Linked DNA regions of Yarrowia lipolytica. The protein of the gene in region 1 interacts with the protein of each later gene in a biochemical or structural test. Links are inferred from orthologs where the notes say so. Each region holds a gene or a part of one and is shown in the gene's direction. Other genes may lie near its edges.

Region 1 (10,706 bases):
AAGGGCAAGTTCAAGATAGTAACTCGTTGTTTATTACTCAGAAGTATGCACTATTTGCTTCATAGCACTGAGGAATTTCAATGCCCTATATTGAGCGCTCTCTCGTAGAACGAATTCTGCATCATCCAGTGTAGGTACTGTACTACCGAATCACCTTTCTCTACTACAAGTACTGCATCCAGCATCTCTGAAGTCCAAAGCCCAGAGCCACTTGCTTGAGCTATATATTTTCCTACTACATATGTATATTCCTGTCTCCTTACTTTCGGAAAAGTCCGCCCAAAAATCCACTCTTCTTAGTCTTCTGCTCCTCGCCGCCCTTGGCAGTCTCCACGGCCTGCACCTCGGCCGGGTAATCGACGTAGTTGTAGGCAATGTCGAAGAAGACGGGCTTGACCAACACGGGTTTCAGCCGCTGGTCAAACTCCACAATGTTGTGAGCCGTGTCCGAGGCAGTTGCCATGGGATACGAGTCCATGTTATCTGAAACGGGGTGGTTAAGGGGCTTCTCCGTCAGTCTCTGGGCAATTGTTTCCAGCGCCTGCAGTCGTGCGGTGTTTGCAACGAGCTGGGCGTTCTTTGGAACCTGGATTCCAGTGACAGCAGCATGATCAGCGTCACCGACAGTCTGTTGCAGCTGAAGAGCCTTGCTATTGAGAGCAAGGGCGTTCTTGTAGTCTCCAACCAGGTCGTAAGACGCACCGATGGCAGCAAGCTTCTGGGCTCTGTAAGCAGCCTTGGTGGCTGTAAGAGCAGAAACGAGGGAGGAGTCGTTGGAGACACCGGCCAGATTGAGAATTTCATCGACAGACTGCACAATGTTGCCTAGCAGACGCACCGAGTCCTTGAGCTGCAACAGTCGGGTGTGGGTGGAGATTTTCAGCGCACTGGGAAGCTTCTCCTTGTTGGTTTTGGCGTGGTCCTTTCGGTCGACCGTCTTAAGCTGTGACACCTCGCTCAGAAGCAGCAGGTCTCGCTCGATTCGCTGCTGCAGCATGTGGAAGTTGATGAAGGTCAGCACAATGTGGGCGTTTTGGGTGGTGTCGTCGTGGGCAGCGATTCCGGCCAGCTCAAATCGCTCCAGCTCCTCCTTGACAAGATCGTTGGCAGACTGCCACAGCGACAGCAGAGTATCGTAGTCAGAGATGGTCTTCTCCTCGGCCTTGGTCTGGGTCAGGGCGTTGCTGACGGTTCGGGCCACGTCGGGGTCGGTAATTTTAGCCTGGTGGCCTCTCCACTCAATCTCGTCCAGTCCGTGGGCCTCGTCCACCTCCAGAGCGTGGGGATTGATCTTCTCGACCAACTTTCCAAAGTCGGATCCGGCATCAACGTAGCCCTTGGAGGCGTTTTCGAGATCGAGCTTTCGGTCAGGAGAAACCTTGAGCAGGGCGACACCGAGAGCAGGGTCGATCTGGGTGGAAATGACGTCGGCCAGCAGCTCGGCCTCCTCAGCGTCCTTGGCCAGAGTGATGAGAGCAGACAGACCCACTCGAGCCGCAGAGTAGGGCTGCACCAGCTTCTGCCACTGTTTTTTGTGTGCGTACAGAGCGCCCTCCAGCAGCAGACGATACGTGGCGATCTGCAGACGCACCTCGTCGCTCTGTGTGTCGGAGACAGACTGCTCCAGGGCCATGGCATACTGCACGGCCTTAGTCAGCTTGGATGCCACCCGTTTCCGCTTGCCGGCTGATCCGTTGGTCTCGAGAATAGATGCCGTCTCCTGAGACACGGCCCAGGCCCGCTCGGCTTGCAGCAGCAGCAGTTGTGCGAATCGAGCGTCCTGAACTACATCTTCGGTGGACACTTGCTTGGGCGAGTACTCCTTTGTGTTTTTGGTCTGGACGCCGAGCCGACGCTTGAGGGTCGCCAGACGCTTAGTGACGACTCCCCGGTACTCGATTCCCGCGGTTCGGTGCGAAAGAACAGTCAAAAGCGGGTTCTCCATTCTGCTGTTTGTGATGGGGGTATAATGCTGGCTGTGGTGATGTGGTAATTGAAAAACCTAGAATCGCCAGGTCATGTGACAAGCTGGGACTATGGTACGAAAGTTTATGTGGAGACAAGGGGACTGGAGGATGGGAGATAGGGGCGGTTGTAGAGAAGATATAGAGACAAGCCTTTAAGAGGAATCAGTTCGCTGGACCTAATTTGGTCAGCGCACAAAAATTCAGCTTTAATGACATGTTACTATGTGTTGTTGAAGTGTCTTGAATGTTCCTCTGTTGTATTTACTCTTCGTTTGTTAAGCGAAAACCTTTTTTTTTAGCTGATAATCGTAATGTAGGCTGGTAACGAAGACTTTGACATTATGGCATATCTTTTTGGGCGATTTGGAAAGCAAAATGATGAAAGAAACGATTTATGTTGGTGAATTCTTTGTGGTATTTCGGATCTGAGTTAGTTATCGGGTTATAGCGCATTATCTTGATATACGAGTATGTGGTATGTATGATAGTAGCATAAAAGTTCAAGGTCGTTCTGAGCGTTCTGGATATCTATTCCGTAGCCGTAAAAGATAACCATAGAAACTCTAGTTCTCTTGCCGTCTTATCAATTCTATTATCTGTACATTTCCTTCCTCTAAAACTGGCGTAATGTGATATCATTTACATGACTTCTCTCAGCTCTGTTTTGCGCCCTTCCATTATGCCCATAACCATGTTTACTGAAGATCCAGAATCCCTTCTTCTCCATACCATAAACAGGCTAGATACAAAACACAGATATATCGCTCGAAATGGCTCACAAGTTTTCTATCAACAAGCACGATCCCTTCAACAAGATGATGTCAAGCTTCTCCAGTAAACATGACGGCCCAATCGACCTCCAAGGCTGTGTCACCTACCTCAAAATCCAGCTAAACAGGCTGGGAGCCCTGGCACAATACTACGACGTGGTTCACTTGCAGTACGACCAAATGCCCGAGCCTGCCCGAACTGAGCTGGGCTCTATTGCCCGGAAGATTATGATCCTTGGCCAGCATCTGGTGAACGTGCTGGGTCCTGATCATCCTCTGACCGAAGAGCTCTGTAACATGATTCACATGGTTGGACCGAGAGTTATGTGTCTGTGAAACGCTCCTGTATCAATTTGTGCGACCAACTGAACTACAAGGAATGCTCTCATTACATGCAAACCGCAAACCTGAGCCAAGTACACGGCTGTGAAGTACAAGTATATAGACGACAATACCATGCGTAAACGGATGGCAACCATGAACTCGGAAGTCTTATAGTGCAGAATTATTACATAACCTATTGATCTACAGCTTTACTGATGTATATCTACAGTACAGACCATCTGTTCGACGATTTACAACTTTCGAAGCACGATGGACGCATGTTGTGCAGTGTTGCTAGTTGTGCTGAGAGACTGCACTATGAGACAAACTGACAAAAACCGAGATACCTGACCATATTTGATTGTAAAAACTAACACAACTTGCCAAATACAACAATAATACACTTGGAAGCCCGACTGAGCGTCCCTTCAAAGGCCGACCCCCCACCCAACTCTTTCAAACTTTGATTCACTTTGAGTTACACGATCTCTTTTGTTTTGGTCTGTGAATGACGATATACGCGAAGTTGAAAAGGGAAAATGGATACGTAGATAGCCTTTTCTTGTGCTTTCGACATGATTTTTTCAAAGAGATGTGTTTTTCGAGTACTCCCCATCGAGATATATGCTTGCCAATCTGCGGAGAAATCCAACGGCAACTCAAAACGACGACAAAGAAAACGGTTGAAACAAGCAAGCAACTGTAGCTTGGTGCACATGTGGGTGAACAAACTGGCTGTGAAACTGAACCCCAGCTTGTTTGCTACTTGCAGCCGATTCATATGATCACGTGACTACTATTTCCTGCCCACACGTCAATATCTCAAGATGGCATGCGCCGGTGAGTGGCCGAGAATATGCATGGTTAGATGGGGTGCGTTGTATCGATGAGAGGGATTCCATCTCCGGCTCGGAAGTATATTTGAGTCATGATTGACTCTGCAACTTGTCTCGGTTCGAATCCTGTGGAAGACGCTCGAGTACTCACACTGTTCTGTACGTTCTGTACAGAATGTTCGTTAACATAGCAACGAAGAGGTGTTTCAAGGGCATAACCCAATCAAACCAAATACAAGCATCTATATCACCGCTCGTCTAGTCAGTACTCGTGCCAATGGCTCTCTATGACATCTCTCCGACCCCAGAACTCAGTTTATTGCCGGATACGCCCTGCGACTTTCGGCTATTATTGGTCTTTGCTTCTCTTGGATCACCTGCATGGAAATATCTCCGCCTACATTAATATTTTTCTGCATCCGAGTTTCACGCGGAGGGTGTGTAGCAGGGGAGGGGGTAAAAGGAGTCTTCTCAGTCGACTTTTAAACACGTGTTTTTGTTCCAGTCTGGTCATAGGACGTATAAATCTCGCATCACGTGCTCAGACCGTCGATACCACGTCTAGACCACTCCCCAGGTATGCACTTCACGAGGCTTACCAATCAACCCCCACTAACCTCTTCTTGCATAACTCTATCTATTGGCTGGAACATACATGTCCTGTGGGTGTTGATTTCAGATGTCGAAAAAAGAAGGCACAATCTACACGATGGAAAGACAAAAACAGCCTTGTTTTACTCTAAATTCTCCCCTCTTCAGAATAAGCTCTCTATCTGTCCCGTGACCCACTTGCTCTCTACTATTCTTCGCCACCGTCCAGTATCTCGTTTACACGTGCCGTGATTTACACCTCCCAAAATTGGCTTCCCCAGAGAAAACGGTGCACCTACAACTGTCTACCTCCACCCACACAAGACTACACACACGCAATGACCCTCCGACTTGCGTTTCGAAGCGTGGGCCGTGCAATGGCCACCAGGACCGCGTACCCCTCGCTGGCCCGATCCCTGGCCACCCACGCGCCCTCCACAGAGACCTTCACCGCTTCTGCGCCTGAGGGATCTCTGGTGGCCAAGGCCGTCGAGGCTGTCCAGAACGCTCCTGCCGGCGATGAGCGACCCATCTACCTGGACATGCAGGCCACTACCCCCACGGACCCCCGTGTGCTGGACGTGATGCTCAACTACTATACGGACATGTATGGCAACCCCCATTCGCGAACACACTCGTACGGATGGGAGACCGACACCGCTGTCGAAAAGGCGCGAGAGGAGATTGCCGCCCTAATCGGAGCCGACCCCAAGGAGATCATCTTCACCTCCGGCGCCACCGAGTCCAACAACATGGTCATCAAGGGTATTGCCCGGTTCTACAAGGGCCGAAAGCGACACATCATCACCACCCAGACCGAGCACAAGTGCATTCTGGACTCGTGCCGATACCTGCAGGATGAGGGCTTCGAGGTCACTTACCTGCCCGTTCTGTCCTCCGGTCTCATTGACATGAAGCAGCTGGAGGCCGCCATTCGACCCGACACTGCTCTGGTGTCCATCATGGCCGTCAACAACGAGATTGGTGTGATCCAGCCCATTGCTGAGATTGGCGCTCTGTGTCGATCCAAGAAGGTCTTCTTCCACACCGATGCTGCCCAGGCCGTCGGAAAGATCCCCATCGACGTCAACGCCGACAAGATTGATGTTATGAGCATAAGTGGACACAAGCTTTACGGCCCCATGGGTATCGGTGCCTGCTACGTGCGACGACGACCCCGAGTGCGTCTCGAGCCCATCATTACCGGTGGAGGTCAGGAGCGAGGTCTTCGATCTGGAACTCTGGCTGCCCCCCTCGTTGCTGGCTTTGGAGAGGCTGCCCGTCTGTGTCGACAGGAGATGCCCTACGACACCGCCCACATTAAGAAGCTGTCTGACAAGCTCAAGAACGGTCTCCTGGCCATGGAGCACACTTCTCTGAACGGAGACGCTGAGCACCACTACCCCGGTTGTGTCAACATCTCTTTTGCTTACGTTGAGGGAGAGTCTCTGCTGATGGCTCTCAAGGACATTGCTCTTTCTTCTGGATCCGCCTGCACCTCTGCCTCTCTCGAGCCCTCTTACGTGCTCCGGGCTCTTGGTGCCGATGACGCTCTTGCCCACTCCTCCATTCGATTTGGTATTGGTCGATTCACCACTGAGGCCGAGGTCGACTACGTGCTTAAGGCCGTGCAGGAGCGAGTCAACTTCCTGCGAGAGCTGTCTCCTCTGTGGGAGATGGTCCAGGAGGGTATTGATTTGGATTCTATTGAGTGGTCTCAGCATTAAGCGAACATGGCAGCCAGCAAAAACATTGCGCAACCATGATAAGCGGTATGAACTGTTCTAGACAAGTGTACGAATCAGGTGCAACTAGATCCGCAACAATAAACAAAAAACTGATGAGCCGTGATATATAGGCATGGCATGTGATGAATAGTGAATGATAGTAAGGTAGAGATATGAGTTGAGAAAGAGTGGACGTGAAGAATATGGCTTATCATTGGCTACTTGTAGTCTGCGTTCCAACCAGTATTCCTACGGACGACTCCAATATGCTCCAGCAGCCAATGGGTAGTTGATGACACCACGATTGGCTTGTATCCGTGTAGTACCTGAAGATGGTGGTTGGCGTAGTGTTGTATTGTCATGTGCTATCCTAGTGGTAAAATGCAGCTAACCATAGTGCAGAATCACTAAGGGTGCAGTAGCTGATACGAGATATAGCCCAGTTTCAAGGATTAGGGCAAGAGAGTCCACTTCTACTCGAGGAAACGAAGAGTTACATACCGAACTAATCGTCTTGGGGGGGTCTTAGTGAAGGTCAGTTCAACTCCTTTCTCTTTGTCGTTCCAATTCCGTGTAAGGAGTCAAACATACGACACCGATAAACACCTGGAAGGTCGCCGGTGCGAGTACATGCTGTGCGAATCGTTTGGCACATACCGCAACAGACATTCGAGGGGGGCGTTAGCCGACATGGCCCGTAGCTCAAGCAGTTGCTAGGGTTTGAGCTGAAATGTGACCTGGTCTCGATACGGCTTACACCAGACATGCCTAATGGTCTTTAGTGCAAGCATAACTCTCCAGTCTCCACTTTTGAGCTTGGTGCTTGGATCTCTGAGCTTGGTTGGTCCAGTACATACTGTAGTCCAACTCTGAGCTTAGCTGTGAAGGCTGCGGAGGTGCCGGTAGCGGCAGTAGCATCTTTGCGATAGGCGTAAGGGACGAAAGGCGTTCGTTTATGGCATGCTTATGGGTGTAGAAGGATTTCCAAAGAGAGCAGTTGCAAGTATGTGTGTAGTTCTCCACATATGACGAGGGTTGTTGGACCTGACCAGACGGTTGAGTAGCTGGATTGTAGATAGCCTGGCTGAGCAACATACAGCATGGTAACGGGCACTCGGGCTCTGCAGACTAACGTCCTTTATTCCGATGTCATCTCCAGCATCTGTTCTCTCTTTAGTTCCAGTCTCTAGGGTAACGGATCGGTTCGTTGCGGGACTCTTGTATGGATCTCACTCACACGATCTATAAGATGGGCAAAAAATCAAAGGTTGCATTAGTTTGGGGTTATTTTGGAAGTCGATGTAGTTTCCGTGAGCACCCAAACGGGTAACACAACATCCCGAGGTCTGTTGGGGGCTCTTGCTCGACGCTTTGCTGTCAGATGGAGTTACAGTAGATGCGTGAGCTGGCAGCTGTCAGATGTCTGACTACCAAGGGGGTTTTCGAGCCGTGACAGCAAAGGGTCGAGGAAGAGGTCAATTTTCCAACCTACCTGTTGTTTTTTCCCGCTACAAACCCCTCGCTTACAAGCTCACAAGTGGTTTGTGCCATTAGTGGTTGGTGTACAAGACGCTTGTTCGTGGTGAGGTTCGGTTTGGCTTTTCTGCACATGGGAAATGAAGAACTTTAGGCACATCTCTCATCCTTGCAGGGAGCACCACCACACATGGTGCAAGTGCAGGGCTTGCGAATGAGACGGACGACAATGGTGTCTGGAGCCGGTACTTTGACGTGGCGGGACCGCGAGAGAGCAGGAAAAGTCGCCAGTGTACAATTAGAGGGCCCCATCTCTTTCCCTCGCGCTTCTATTAGCTTCCTGCTGGACTTGCCTGTTTTGTCGAATATGCAAAACTCTCCATTCCCCTGCACCTGTGTACCAATGCAGTGGAAATGGCGGGCGTTGGAGGGAGTTCATTAGTGAAGATTTATAGGGTGTAATGTAGTGTAATAATTAGACAATAGGTGAAGACAAAGACTGACATAAGTCGAGGGATTTCTCGACGACCGCGAGTAAGGGCACCTGTAGGGGAGATGGTGGTTCGGGTAGATACGTCGTCATTATGAAACGTTGGCGGGAAGAGCAGCCAAAAAAGCAAGCTGAGATTAATACTCTATCTTGAGACAATCAAAAAAGCAACTTGGATGCAACTCGGGTCCGAAGGTACAGTGTGCTAGTGGTTCAACCTGGTGAACTAGCGATCCAATGGGTATTGAGACGGTTTAAGCCTGGTGTGGTGTACATGGCATGTATATACAGTATTTACTGGTGCTTCTTGTTTGATATACCTCCTCCCTGTCAAAGAGCAGAGCAAATGACATACATGGACGGTTCATAAGTAAACGCTTGGTGGAAATTTACATTAGACTGTTTGTTCGTCTCCAAGGCCAGTCTGCTTCTTTGCAAGGTCTTCTTTGGAGCTATCGTCCAACTGAGACCCAGCTTCTGGCACGCTAGATACGGTCATCATCGCTAGGGGAACCCGGCTACGGACAACAATACCCACCACCGCCATACGGCCCGATCTACAGTCTCGTATACCTGCAAACCTAAGCGTCCATTGTCTGAGCGTCGGCTGAGTGCTTCTGGAACACGTCGTTAGGGTTGGGCTGGTTTTTCAGGCTGACTTTTGCTTTTGTCCCTACTTGCTTGTAGCTTCTTGCACACGCTTTTCACACTCAAGAGGCTGGTGACAACGGCTGAGAGTCAGGTGGTGACTGAGTTACGGCTCGGACGGAGTCGTTAAAAGAAACTGACTCGGACCGGAGGTTCTCCAAAAGATGCTTCCTGTTCCGACCGAGCTTCCCCAGGGCGGATTACAGTCGAAAATAAACATCCACGAGTGCACGTCGTCTTGGACAACTCAACCCCGACTCTTCTGTAACATGGAACCGGCGCATATGCCACATGTATGCTTTACCGTGCTTGGCTGTGTCTTACCTATAGGCAGGGCAGGGATTAGGTTGTAAAAAGGGCGAGCGTGTTGACACTGGCACCTTGGACTCGGTTGTGTGCCCGCACTTGAGTCTGAGGTCCAATGAAGGAATCACACCTGTTGGATTACGAGACGTGGCCGACGAGACTACCCACAGACGCTCGCGGGAGTGTACACTACGAACGCACCATTATGGGCCAATCAACCCCCTTCTTGCTGTCACTCCTCACCGTCGCTTGTCTGATTCATCATGACGTCTCAACCACATCTGGGTGGGAAGCATCCGACGGATGTCCCTGAACAAACAAGGCACAAGTGTGTACTGTAGCATATACACTACAAAGTAAGCACTCGTAGGGGTTTTTTGACAGGTCGGAGAAGTCGGAGGAAACGGTGTGACTGAAGACTCCAGAGTGTTGCTTTTGGGCTGGGGGTACATGTCTTCTCAGATGCTGTCCAACCGCACCCACCTCCACACGACGACATGGACCGTTAGCAAGACTCTTTTCAGGATTTCAGTTCTTTCTGCATACCCCATCTTGGAGACTGCAGCTTGGCAGAGATGAAAATGTCCAAGTCGGAGGTGCATTAGCAGCGAGCTAGTGGGACTATCTGAGCGTCTGGTTGATCTGAAAAAGATTAAGCGAAGGCCAACCTCGAACGGTGCAAGATGAGAGACCCTGAGAGAGCATTGCCGTGTGCAAGTTTCTCTCCCACCAACCTCCTCTCCGTCTCTACAAGTAGCACATCCTTGTGAAATTACAAACGCGATACTTGCACCAGTACAAGTAGGCTACTCTATCAACAACCTCGCCTATGCATTCCGATACACAGCTCCATCACCGCCACCATCACCACCTTCGGAGTTGGGGCTCCGGGAGAAGACTTTTCAGACCATTGTTCTTGACAGTAGCCGCCATTTCCACACTTGCCGGAGCCGTGTCTGTGTTTGTCTGTCGGACTTGTGGTGTTAGGGATCTGCTTGTGGTCTGAAAAAGAGTTTGATTCACATGGCAACAGGCCAGTTTGTTGTGCCAACCTACTGTACAAGTCGAACTCTAACGCTGCTGGACGAAATATTTTGAACTTGACTTGTATATTTTTTAAAAAAAAAAATTTGAGCTGGGCTATATAAAAAAGGCTAAAATGGGAGTTAACGAGTAGAGCAAAGTTTAAGCAGTGCATGAATAAATACATGCCAGAAGACAGAGAAGAGACAGAAACCACAGCAGATATACCGCGTTGCACGTTGCCAGACACGTCAAGGGCCATGAAGAAATCGAGAAACGGATGCTTGCGGTGCAAACAGCTTAAGCGCAAGTGCGACGAGGAAAAACCCGCGTGTGAACGGTGTGTCAAGGCGGGAGCCGCGTGCGAGTACAAAAAAGTGCTAACCTGGGGCAATGGAGTGGCGTCCAGGGGAATCCACAAGGGCGCCACCTTCATCAGCGATGTGGGATCCCGAGCCCACGTGGAGGCGGCGGTGCGAAACTTCAGAGTCGACATTGAATCATCTCCGTCTTCCATGAGCACCCCAAGCTCGGATGGAGGAGCAGGA
Region 2 (9,408 bases), on another chromosome or scaffold:
CTGCAAGGAAGGATGGATGAACTTGGATGAGGGGGGAGGTCGAATGTTTAGCCCGGCGAAGTTGATGGATCCAAACGACGAAGTGCTCTGAGTGTGTCTAGAGGTGGGTTCGGCAGTGGAGCCCGCAGAGGCAGGAATGGCCTCTAAACCCGCCAGAGAGTTGACCACAACAGTAGGATTGTCTATACCCTCTTCGTGTTCAGGTTCCATGCTGGGCAACAGTGGAGTTGCATGGTGCTCCTGGGTAAGTCCAGCCTGGTAGTTGTTGATGTTGTTGTTTGTCATGTGGTTGCTTGTTGTGTATGAGTGGTGAGGGGCATGGCCGGCATATCCTCCCGAGTTGGTTCTAGCCACTGTGCTGTTAGTGTTCATATTGAGGTCCATTCCAGTGGAGGCAGGGTCTACTTTGAACTGGTCGACGCTAATTGTCGATGGACTAGGCTTAGTGCTGTTGGGCCCTTCGATTGCGGCAATGATGCTGGAGTGTTCGGAGATGAGCACAAACAGCGTGTAAGCGCCGGCCAGAGCTGCGACTATGCTCCAGAGGGCGAAATGGGCCGTGGTCACGCCTGCGTGATGGGTCACCAGAACACTCCCGCTATTGTCATCAAAGGCCACATCTCTCACTACTTTAGCGTAGAAGACCATGCCAGCCAGCCAGGCTAAAAAGGCCGAAAAGACACACGCAGGAATGGCTTTCTTATGCACCAGAAAGGCCGCATAGGACGCCGCTTGGGCCACCGAGGCGGCTCCCTGAAGATACAGGGCTGCTCTCCAAGGCGAGGTTAGCGGAGCAGCGGCCACGAACGCCAGAACCGCCACGGGAATCGGCAGAAGCACAAACACACACGACAGCGTCGTTTTAACGGTCACAGTCAGGCTGATGATCATTGCGCATGCGATGTGTGTCGAAAGTGTCGAAAGTGTCGAGGGTGTCGATTTTATCTGTCGACTGAATTATACTATACTGGTCGAGGAGTTGTTACCAGTTTATCAGATCAGTCGTATCTCTGAGGTGTGAGTGTGTGTGTGTGTGTGTGTGTATTCCTCAGCCAGGGTATCGGTAGGAGTGCGCTCAGCCGTCGGAGGGCTGTCGCTGCTGGAGAAATGGATGTCGAATACGGCGTGTCTTTTGATTCTCCAGACAGAGATGTATATACATGATTTCCTGGAGACAGTTTACCCAGCTTCACTACTTCGGAAATAGACTTTTGCACTTAGCACACTTAGCGCGTCTTGACAAAGGTTTATCCCAGACAAAGAAGCACAAAAGGGACTTGCTGGGAGAAAAAAAACACAAAAACACAAAGGCGAACCAAAAACTGTGCAGCTACGCCAAAAAAGAACGTGTTACGTGTGGTTTGGACTGGCCGAGTTACCTGCTACCTGTGGCTTCAGTAGCGGCGGGAGCAAGTTCGAGACGGATTGGGTCATTTGGGACCTATGAGGCAATGTTGATAGATGTGAAAGATAAAAGGCGAACCTCTCTGCTCCACCCAGACACGGTACCTACCAAGTACCGTGTTTGGGTAGCTACAAAAGCGACCACTTTTCAGCCTTGCTGCCGGACCGTGTCATCCTACCGATACACTGCCAGGATGCAACGTTGTCAAGATGATACAATGACAGCTATACGAGGAGCAAGCACAAGTACTCTCGTCATGATCCAGTGTCGCACACTTTGTGGGTCTGGTACCTACTCCTCCTCCTCTTCATGCCCAATGCTCGCTGCACTTTGCACATACAGCATACGGCACCCAGATTGTAGAGTGGGGAGATGGCGCAGGAGGGTGGTGGCGCCTCTGAGACCATGTCATGTTTCCATTCATCAACGTTCGTGCAGGAGCTACTAGTAGTGGCGGAGACTTGCTTGAAGAGAGGATGTACTACTTGTAACTCGTTTTTCTTTCTATGTACTGTGCGTGTGGTCCGTGTGGACCTGTCTTGTTCCAATCTACAACCTCATGTCTTAAACCACATCTGATCACCATCGGCTCTACACCACAAGGCCAGATAGTGCTCGAACCTAGTGTGTGTAATTACAGCACAGTAATAGGTTTTCACTCTCAACTGTACGCACCGCAACCAGCAAAGAGTGTATCGCCTGTCGCTGTCAACTCAATGACATTGTGTTCCAGATACACTTTGGGTAGTGGGGACCATTGTGGAGTGGGCTAAAGCAGCAGCAAACGAGCTACTTTGTCGGGCCTTGTAATCTGTACCACTGCGGGATCCAACAGTGACAGCTGGCCCAAGTTCGGCTAACCCAACGGTCTGCATTGGCTGGGGTCCACGGCCTAGGCTTTCATTTCGGCCAAGCTCCGGTACTTGTACTCCGGTGCACAGTATGTAGAGAGTCTGAGTCTGTACTTATGCTTGGACCGCTCTAGGTTGTCAAGTGGATGGAGCATGCTACTGGCACTATACCACACCCGAGCTCGCCAAAGGCCCAAAACCTGTCCTATAATAACCCGATATTATTGCAGTAGCTGCCCCGCTAGAGCGACACGCTTTAGACACATGTCTCCGTCCGCCAAAACGGCTGATATAATACTGAGGAGGTCGGGGTCCGTAGACACTAGGTTGGCTCCGATCAATGGTCTGCAAGCTGCACATCTTACAGTACATGAAAAATAACAAACTGAGTTATTTTCAAGCAGTCAGAGCGACCGAGACGAAGCACAAAAAACAGACTCGTGCAACCGGATCTTTACGCATGAGTATGGTTATAGCGTGGTGAGACTACCGTAGTTGCGACTCTGCTTGACGGGCGAGATTGTGCGTGATTGAGGTGTTGCAATGTAGGGTAGAGCATTGTACAAGCCCAGTACAGTAGGTTGTACACTTACTTTAGGTGGTAAGCTCGCACCGCCTACTCGCTGTAGCTACAACAACATGGTACCATCAATACCACCATGGTCAGTACACTACGTCACCACCACTTTCCAAGACACACATGTATCGAGGCAGGGGTGCATTCCAGCCATCTCCACGAAATAATAACCGTCTTGTCTGTGTCAGCTCAGTCTGAAAAAAGTTGTGCAGATATTATTTGGGCTCCCAATCAAATAATATTAGCACCCCATGTACTGGAGCTCAGCGACATGACGCCGATGCCCGCTCCGATAATATTGAACTTTGGCGCTCTCGCCTCTCCATCTCTTGGTCTACCCAGACCCATCATCCAATGCGCCTGCTGCCACTCGACTATCACCGTTCACGCCGCGTGGACAATCTATGCTCCGACATTTGTTTGTATTGACCCAAATCTGTGTATACCTCTTTCCCAATCGGGGGTGCATGGTTTTGTTTAGGTTTGCAATTGTTCCGTTTTTGGACGTGTAAGAACTTTGTGTTAAATCCTATTTTCCCCATCCACTTGTATCTCGCGAGACAAACGGGTCCATCGAGTCTAAAAGAAGGGACCCAGTGAAGAGCCGGCAAGAAGCAAGTCAAGTACGGAACAAGTCAAGTACACGAGAAATAAGTGGTTACTGCACATACCGTTGGTGCACAGAATGATCACAAATCATACCAGCCCAAGTGTGTGTACCTGCACCTGCATCTCGACCCCATGGACCCCATGGCGTCGTTCCTGCTCAAAACTGGGCCGAGAACATTCAGATCTGGCCCTTTTGACCCATAACTAACGGATGGGTCTGTTTAGCCGGTTATAGCTCTTTAAAATGCCACCCAACCACTCGTTTTGTCGCCTCCACGGACATACGGGGCCGTTTGGTCGGCATGTCCTAACTCACCGGTAAGAGGCATTGTTTACGTACCAGTACGCACCATAGCGGATCTAGCGGGGGTGGCGCTTGCCATGTAGGTATGCAATTGGTTTTATGCACTGATACATTCTCTACTGTGAGCCTGAGCGCTCTTTTCGTGAACCCCTGATTGTAAAGGTGGGTTGGCACCGGTGGAGAACGAACCTTTCTCCACTTGTAGTACTTAGTCCTCTATCTGAGTGATGGGCTTGATCTATGACTTGGACAATCAAACATTTTAAATGTGGTCTCCATATCCATTAACTCTACACACCGCCTAGCCGTAGATATTGATTAGTTTGGAGCTTCCAGAACCTCTAATTCTACTGCACGATACCTCGCACGGCTCGCTTAGAACAAGAAAACAACCGTTCTACTTCTCCCTCTCCTGTTCAACCCCTTTTTCGGGATCTAATCGATATCTTTCTAAGGGGATGCAATGAGATACCGGCTTCTGTGTTTTTCCTCCTTGTGCTCGTACAGGTGCACTTTCATAGCAACTGATGGACTGCACTCAACCTCCTAAACCTCCATCGTCGGCGTGCAGGTGGAAATAATTATCCTCCACCCGAGTGAATGGTGCATTAGTTGGCAGCCACAGACGGTTAGCAGCCATTAGGGGTTCAGCAGTGCGTTGGAATAGTGGATACAAAAAAAATACATGAACCGCAGTTATACAGCAGTTTTTATAGGGGCAGTGTGGACCCTGCCTGTGCGGCTGGACGTTTTACGTTTTATAGGCGAGTCAAACTGGAGACGTCGTCTTTTGAGCGAGGGTCGTGGATCAAAAAATCCAGTATTGTATTACGAGCCAGTATCCAGACGTCTAGTGGAACAAATCATTTCTTTTATGAAGCAATTATTTTTCTTTCATGTAACAACCATTTTCTTTCAAGTAACAACCATTTTCTTTCAAGTAACAACCATTTTCTTCATGTTCTTACTTAAATCGTCTTTTTTTTTAATTCTCTCACCCCACAAGGCTACGCTAAGAGTACGACCTCCACAGCACAGCTGTAGACATAAGGGCTGGTCGGTACAGGTGGACTTGCTTTTTCCTTCATAGTTGGGTGAGAAATAATAAGTGGTTGGTCTGCTTGCCAAAGATGACAATCACCGTATAGATCGTCGCGTATTTTCGCATTTGACGTGCTCACGTTTCAGATTTCGCAGACAACAGAAAAATATTATTTCCCTGTTTTTTTGGGCGTAACCTTGAGTTATAGCTCCTGTAAAATGGCTACAGTGGTGTATTACTTGTAGGGAAATGAAATCAACAACCCGAAACGAGTAGTCAATTGGAAAAAGCAACAATGTCTTCCATCACCGCTTGTAGCTGTAACAGGACGAGCGCGCTGGCTCCTTGTAGCGCTACATATCGTACTTGGTAGGTGCTTTTGAAACAGCTCATGCAATCGTGCGAACCTGTAACATAACAGTCAGGTGTATTCATGTCTTATTGGTACTTGTAGTTGGGCAACTACTTCGTGACACGCAGAAACCAACTACCGGAAGTACGAGTACTTGTACAAGTATTGTACAGTAGCTGGTTGGAGTTGGACTTGCAACTGTGGACTGTTGACTGTTGACTGTTGACTGTTGACTGTACTGTATGTATTCCATCCCATAATGTAGAGCTGAGAGTTGTTTTCAGAAACATCAAAGACAACTTTTCAAATACATCAGAGACAGCTTTGTGAATTGATCGATTCCAGCACAATCAGGTCATTATCTTTTGTCTGTTTGTTTCCCTTTTCATCGCTGTGGTCGTTTGTTTTTTTGTCTCTGATCTCAGGCACACTTCCAGGGCCCTCTCAATCACTCACGTTTCTTCTGCAAGTCCAGACTGCGTCTGTCCATAGCCCGCTGAGTCATCTTTCGACTGGCTTCCACACGTGGGTTCGAATCTCACAGGTGTCTTGAATTTAATCGTGTGGCGAAGTTTGAAAGTGGGGCAAAAACATGGGGGAAACTCAAGGGCAAGTGTGATTCAATATACAATAGGTTAGAGATTCTTTGCTCTCTTGCTCTCAACCTTCATTTCCCCTTCAAACTCGCCCCCTCTCACTCCTCAACTCGGCATTACTAAGAACCCTATCAGCGCAAAGCATCTCCACTCGAACCCAAACCCCCCAATAAAAGCACTTGTGCCTTCCCCAACTTTTGGACCGTACACCGATTCTTAGAACCCACCACACACTCCTCCATCCTCGAAAATGACCGCACACAAGGCCCTTGCTCTGGATCTCTACCGACAGCTGCTGCGAAACGGCTACCGAATGGCCGGTTACAACTTCCGACAGTACGCCATCAGACGAACCCGGGACGGCTTCCATGCCAACCGAAATCTCACCGACAAGGGCGAGATTGAGTCTGCTATCAAGTACGCCGAGAAGGAACTCGGCGTGCTCAAGCGACAGTCCGTCATTTCTCAGATGTACGCCGGCGAGCCTCTGGTGGTTGAGCATGCCGACAAGAACCTCGCCAAGAAGAACGAGCAGCTTCACTCTGCTGTTTAAACGACAGCGGACGCTGAACGACAAGACAGACAAAAGGGACATATCAGATGCGGCGGATCAAAGCGTGAAGCTGGACCCCAGGTTAGCATACCACCATGACGATGTCGGTGTGTGTGTGAACGAACGGACTTCTGTACAGAAAAAGGGGGAGGGACGAAGTCTGTGTATATATTGAAAGGATGATGATGATGATGTTTTGTGGGACTGATAAACGAGAGAGATGACTATGGTGGTACGCTCGCTGTCATGTCCAAATTGCCATTGTTGCTGGAGTGGCAAATTTTCGATCCGGTCGTACCACGGAACTGTTGCAATTAATGTCATGTTCCAGGTTTGATCTGTAAACCCGTGTGTTTGTGTAACTCGGGATAGTATATATATGCTGCTGGATCCCCCCTCCCCTCGACAAGCCGTTTTCCGCTGTACAGTGGTCATGAGCAGGTGTTTGAATGTCACAAATAAAGTTGACATATCTTCAGTTCAATGATAGACGAAAAATGAAGGTTATCGACTTTGAGACACGGCACAACATTACACCATGAGATACAAGCGGGTGCTGGCGTTGGCTACGGCCCTGGCCCTGACGGGGGCATTCATATCGATGGTCGTGCTGGGTAAGGACTTGTCATGGCTCGACAGAAAGGCCGGCAAAAGCAGAATCAAAACCTACATCTTGACCACAACATGCGAGCGTGAATGTGGCCATCTCACCGACTGGATTCGAGAGGGCACATTTATGCTGGACTCAGACGCGCCGCAAGTCGCCCCGCAGTGCAAGGCTCATACGCGGTGGGATTACAAGCTGGTTCCTCCTCCCGAGGGGTTCACAAACCCAGGGCCTCCTCCCAAGATTAAGTACCGACCTGCTGAGAATGACGAGGAACGGGAGATTCTCAAAAAGAACCCCGAGTACAAGTTCCGAACACCGGAAATGTTCAAATGGATGGAATGGATCGAAAACAAGTACCGAAACAAGTACGCCCAGACGCTGCGAGACTGCTCCAACGGCTCCCACGAACTGTGCATGCTGCTGGAAGACGATATTGTCTTCATCAACAAGCGCGACATGATGCTCTACAGACTCGCCTTGCACACCATGGCCAAATACTCAGGGCCAGAGGTATCTTGGGACTGTGCCAAGAGGGGTAACGGTTGGGAGGAGCGTGATATTGACGGAAACAAGAGCCAGTGTCGAATCATCCATAGAGACTATGCTGGATGTCTCGCTGACTTCTTGGAGACGTCTGGTCGCCCTGCAGATGTTGCTCTGGCTGAGGGAATGAAGCATTGCAAGATGAAACAAAAGTGGTTCTTGTTAGTACAGCATACTGGACGTAAGAGTGGGATGGGTCATGCTCAGTGATCATGGCGATGGGCGTTCACAAGCGCAGCTTGCAGCTTACCAGGAAAAGACAACAAGTTCATCAGGGCTTGTAACTAATCCTTGTGGTGATATACGGCTTCAATGATCTGATTGGAGGAATAAGCCGTCTTGAGAGACGGAGGTGATTCTACTATGTACCAGGACATACATACTATGCTGGTAGTCCATCTTTTTCTCTCACTGCAAATCAATACTTTATATCTGCAGACCTGAAGGATGAAGTCAAACGTATGTATCAAAACTCCAACTGGCGGAAAATGTAGTTAGACTGCCTGACAAGGTCCTGGAACTGCTCTTCATCAAACGATGGAGAATAGTGTTTGTTGGTGAAGAGCTCGGGACTAGGTGCAGGAATGACAACACATTCCTTGTACGACTCTCCACATCGATATGCCGTGTCTTCGTTGGTGTTGGGAGCCCTGGTTTGCTCTGTCAGAGCCATAAGGGGGTCGTCGACAATATGAAAGGAGCCCTTGGATATATAACAAACGGCTGAGCGAATTTGTCCCTCAGAATGGAAACTAGCGGTTTGTCACCCTTGCCAAAGCTTTCCATTCAACTGTTCTTGAGCAACGTGGTATTAGATAAAACACGATAAAAGAAACAAGTCTAATGCTTGGTTTTGACAATGATCTGGAAGAGTACCGACACTCCTACTTGTGTTGTACAGTATATCAAGTTATTGAATCTTCTCAATAGCCAGACGCCCTCTTACTCGCCATCTTTCTCATCACTCCCGTACCGAGACTCATGTTCCAATAATTACTTGGATGGACAGTTCCTTGTCATCGAAAGCATCGAAAGCTGCTTGAGGCGATGAGCTTTTTGTTTGCCTGATCTCGGTCTGAAAAAGATCGCAGTGTTGTATTGAACCGAGATATTCTATCTGGTATGCTCATATTCGGTATCCATCTTCGTACTTGTACATTTGATATTCCTGGATAGAAAAGATAAACTATTATGTAAATATTTAACTGGGACACTGTTCAGAATCGCCACAACTAACTGCTGCTATCGCGGCCATAGTACAAGCAACCAATAACTGCACATACTGTAGGAGTACATACATACCAGTGTAGTGGATATATCATGACCAAATGTCGATAACCCCCAGAAAAAACTACCACTGTGTGTCTAATCGTATACGTACGTACCCTTGCCGTTGCTCATCTAAATCTGCGATACCCCCCATGAGACGTCTTCGGATCTCATTCTGGTCGTTATCTTGTCCTTACACTGTAATTAGTGCGTTCGACAGAAAGCGTGAACGGCCCGAGCAATACGCTTGTGCGGTTTATTTTCTCGTGTGTGTGGAATATTATCTCGTGTGACAGAGAAGATACCATTGGTTTTACTATGTCGTTCAATCAAATGGTTCTGTACATCACGAGTAAGTCAAGGCTATTAATTTGTAGGAGGAGACTTCTGAGATAGAACTACAAGTATGTATCTTGTATTACCGCCGATGTTGTTATAACCAGATATATTAATGGCAATGGGTAAGGATACACCAGTGCATTGTTCAGGGCAGTTGTCCACACTGGTGCATTCGCTGGAGCCATCGTTGTGTGAGTGTCTCGAAATCCTCAGCCACTCTCTTCAACAGCATCTCTTCAACTAACCCTAACTACTTTATCAACTAACCATAACTACTTTCTCAACTAACCCCAACTACATGCTTAACTAACGAGTTATGCGTGCCGATCTAGTATACGCACTCCAAGTAGAATTCACG

Evidence for each region.
Region 2: the proteins of YALI1_C26167g (region 1) and YALI1_D15296g form a complex in vitro, tested with the Saccharomyces cerevisiae proteins (3 studies listed by BioGRID). The link is inferred for Yarrowia lipolytica from reciprocal best matches to the Saccharomyces cerevisiae genes NFS1 and ISD11.

What each region holds. Positions count from the first base shown.
Region 1 is NC_090772.1:2,611,953-2,622,658, forward strand, and holds YALI1_C26167g (uncharacterized protein), read left to right. Parts: upstream 1-4,826; coding exon 4,827-6,215; downstream 6,216-10,706. Other genes in the region: YALI1_C26138g (uncharacterized protein), read right to left, coding at 260-1,945; YALI1_C26146g (uncharacterized protein), read left to right, coding at 2,738-3,073; YALI1_C26161g (uncharacterized protein), read left to right, coding at 4,185-4,640; YALI1_C26209g (uncharacterized protein), read left to right, coding at 8,994-9,146, 9,193-9,402; YALI1_C26215g (uncharacterized protein), read right to left, coding at 9,485-9,575, 9,619-9,737; YALI1_C26222g (uncharacterized protein), read left to right, coding at 10,332-10,706. UniProt on the Saccharomyces cerevisiae protein: Catalyzes the removal of elemental sulfur from cysteine to produce alanine. It supplies the inorganic sulfur for iron-sulfur (Fe-S) clusters. Plays a role in both tRNA-processing and mitochondrial metabolism.
Region 2 is NC_090773.1:1,523,655-1,533,062, forward strand, and holds YALI1_D15296g (uncharacterized protein), read left to right. Parts: upstream 1-5,986; coding exon 5,987-6,289; downstream 6,290-9,408. Other genes in the region: YALI1_D15245g (uncharacterized protein), read right to left, coding at 1-891; YALI1_D15288g (uncharacterized protein), read right to left, coding at 5,065-5,225, 5,277-5,430; YALI1_D15304g (uncharacterized protein), read left to right, coding at 6,828-7,652.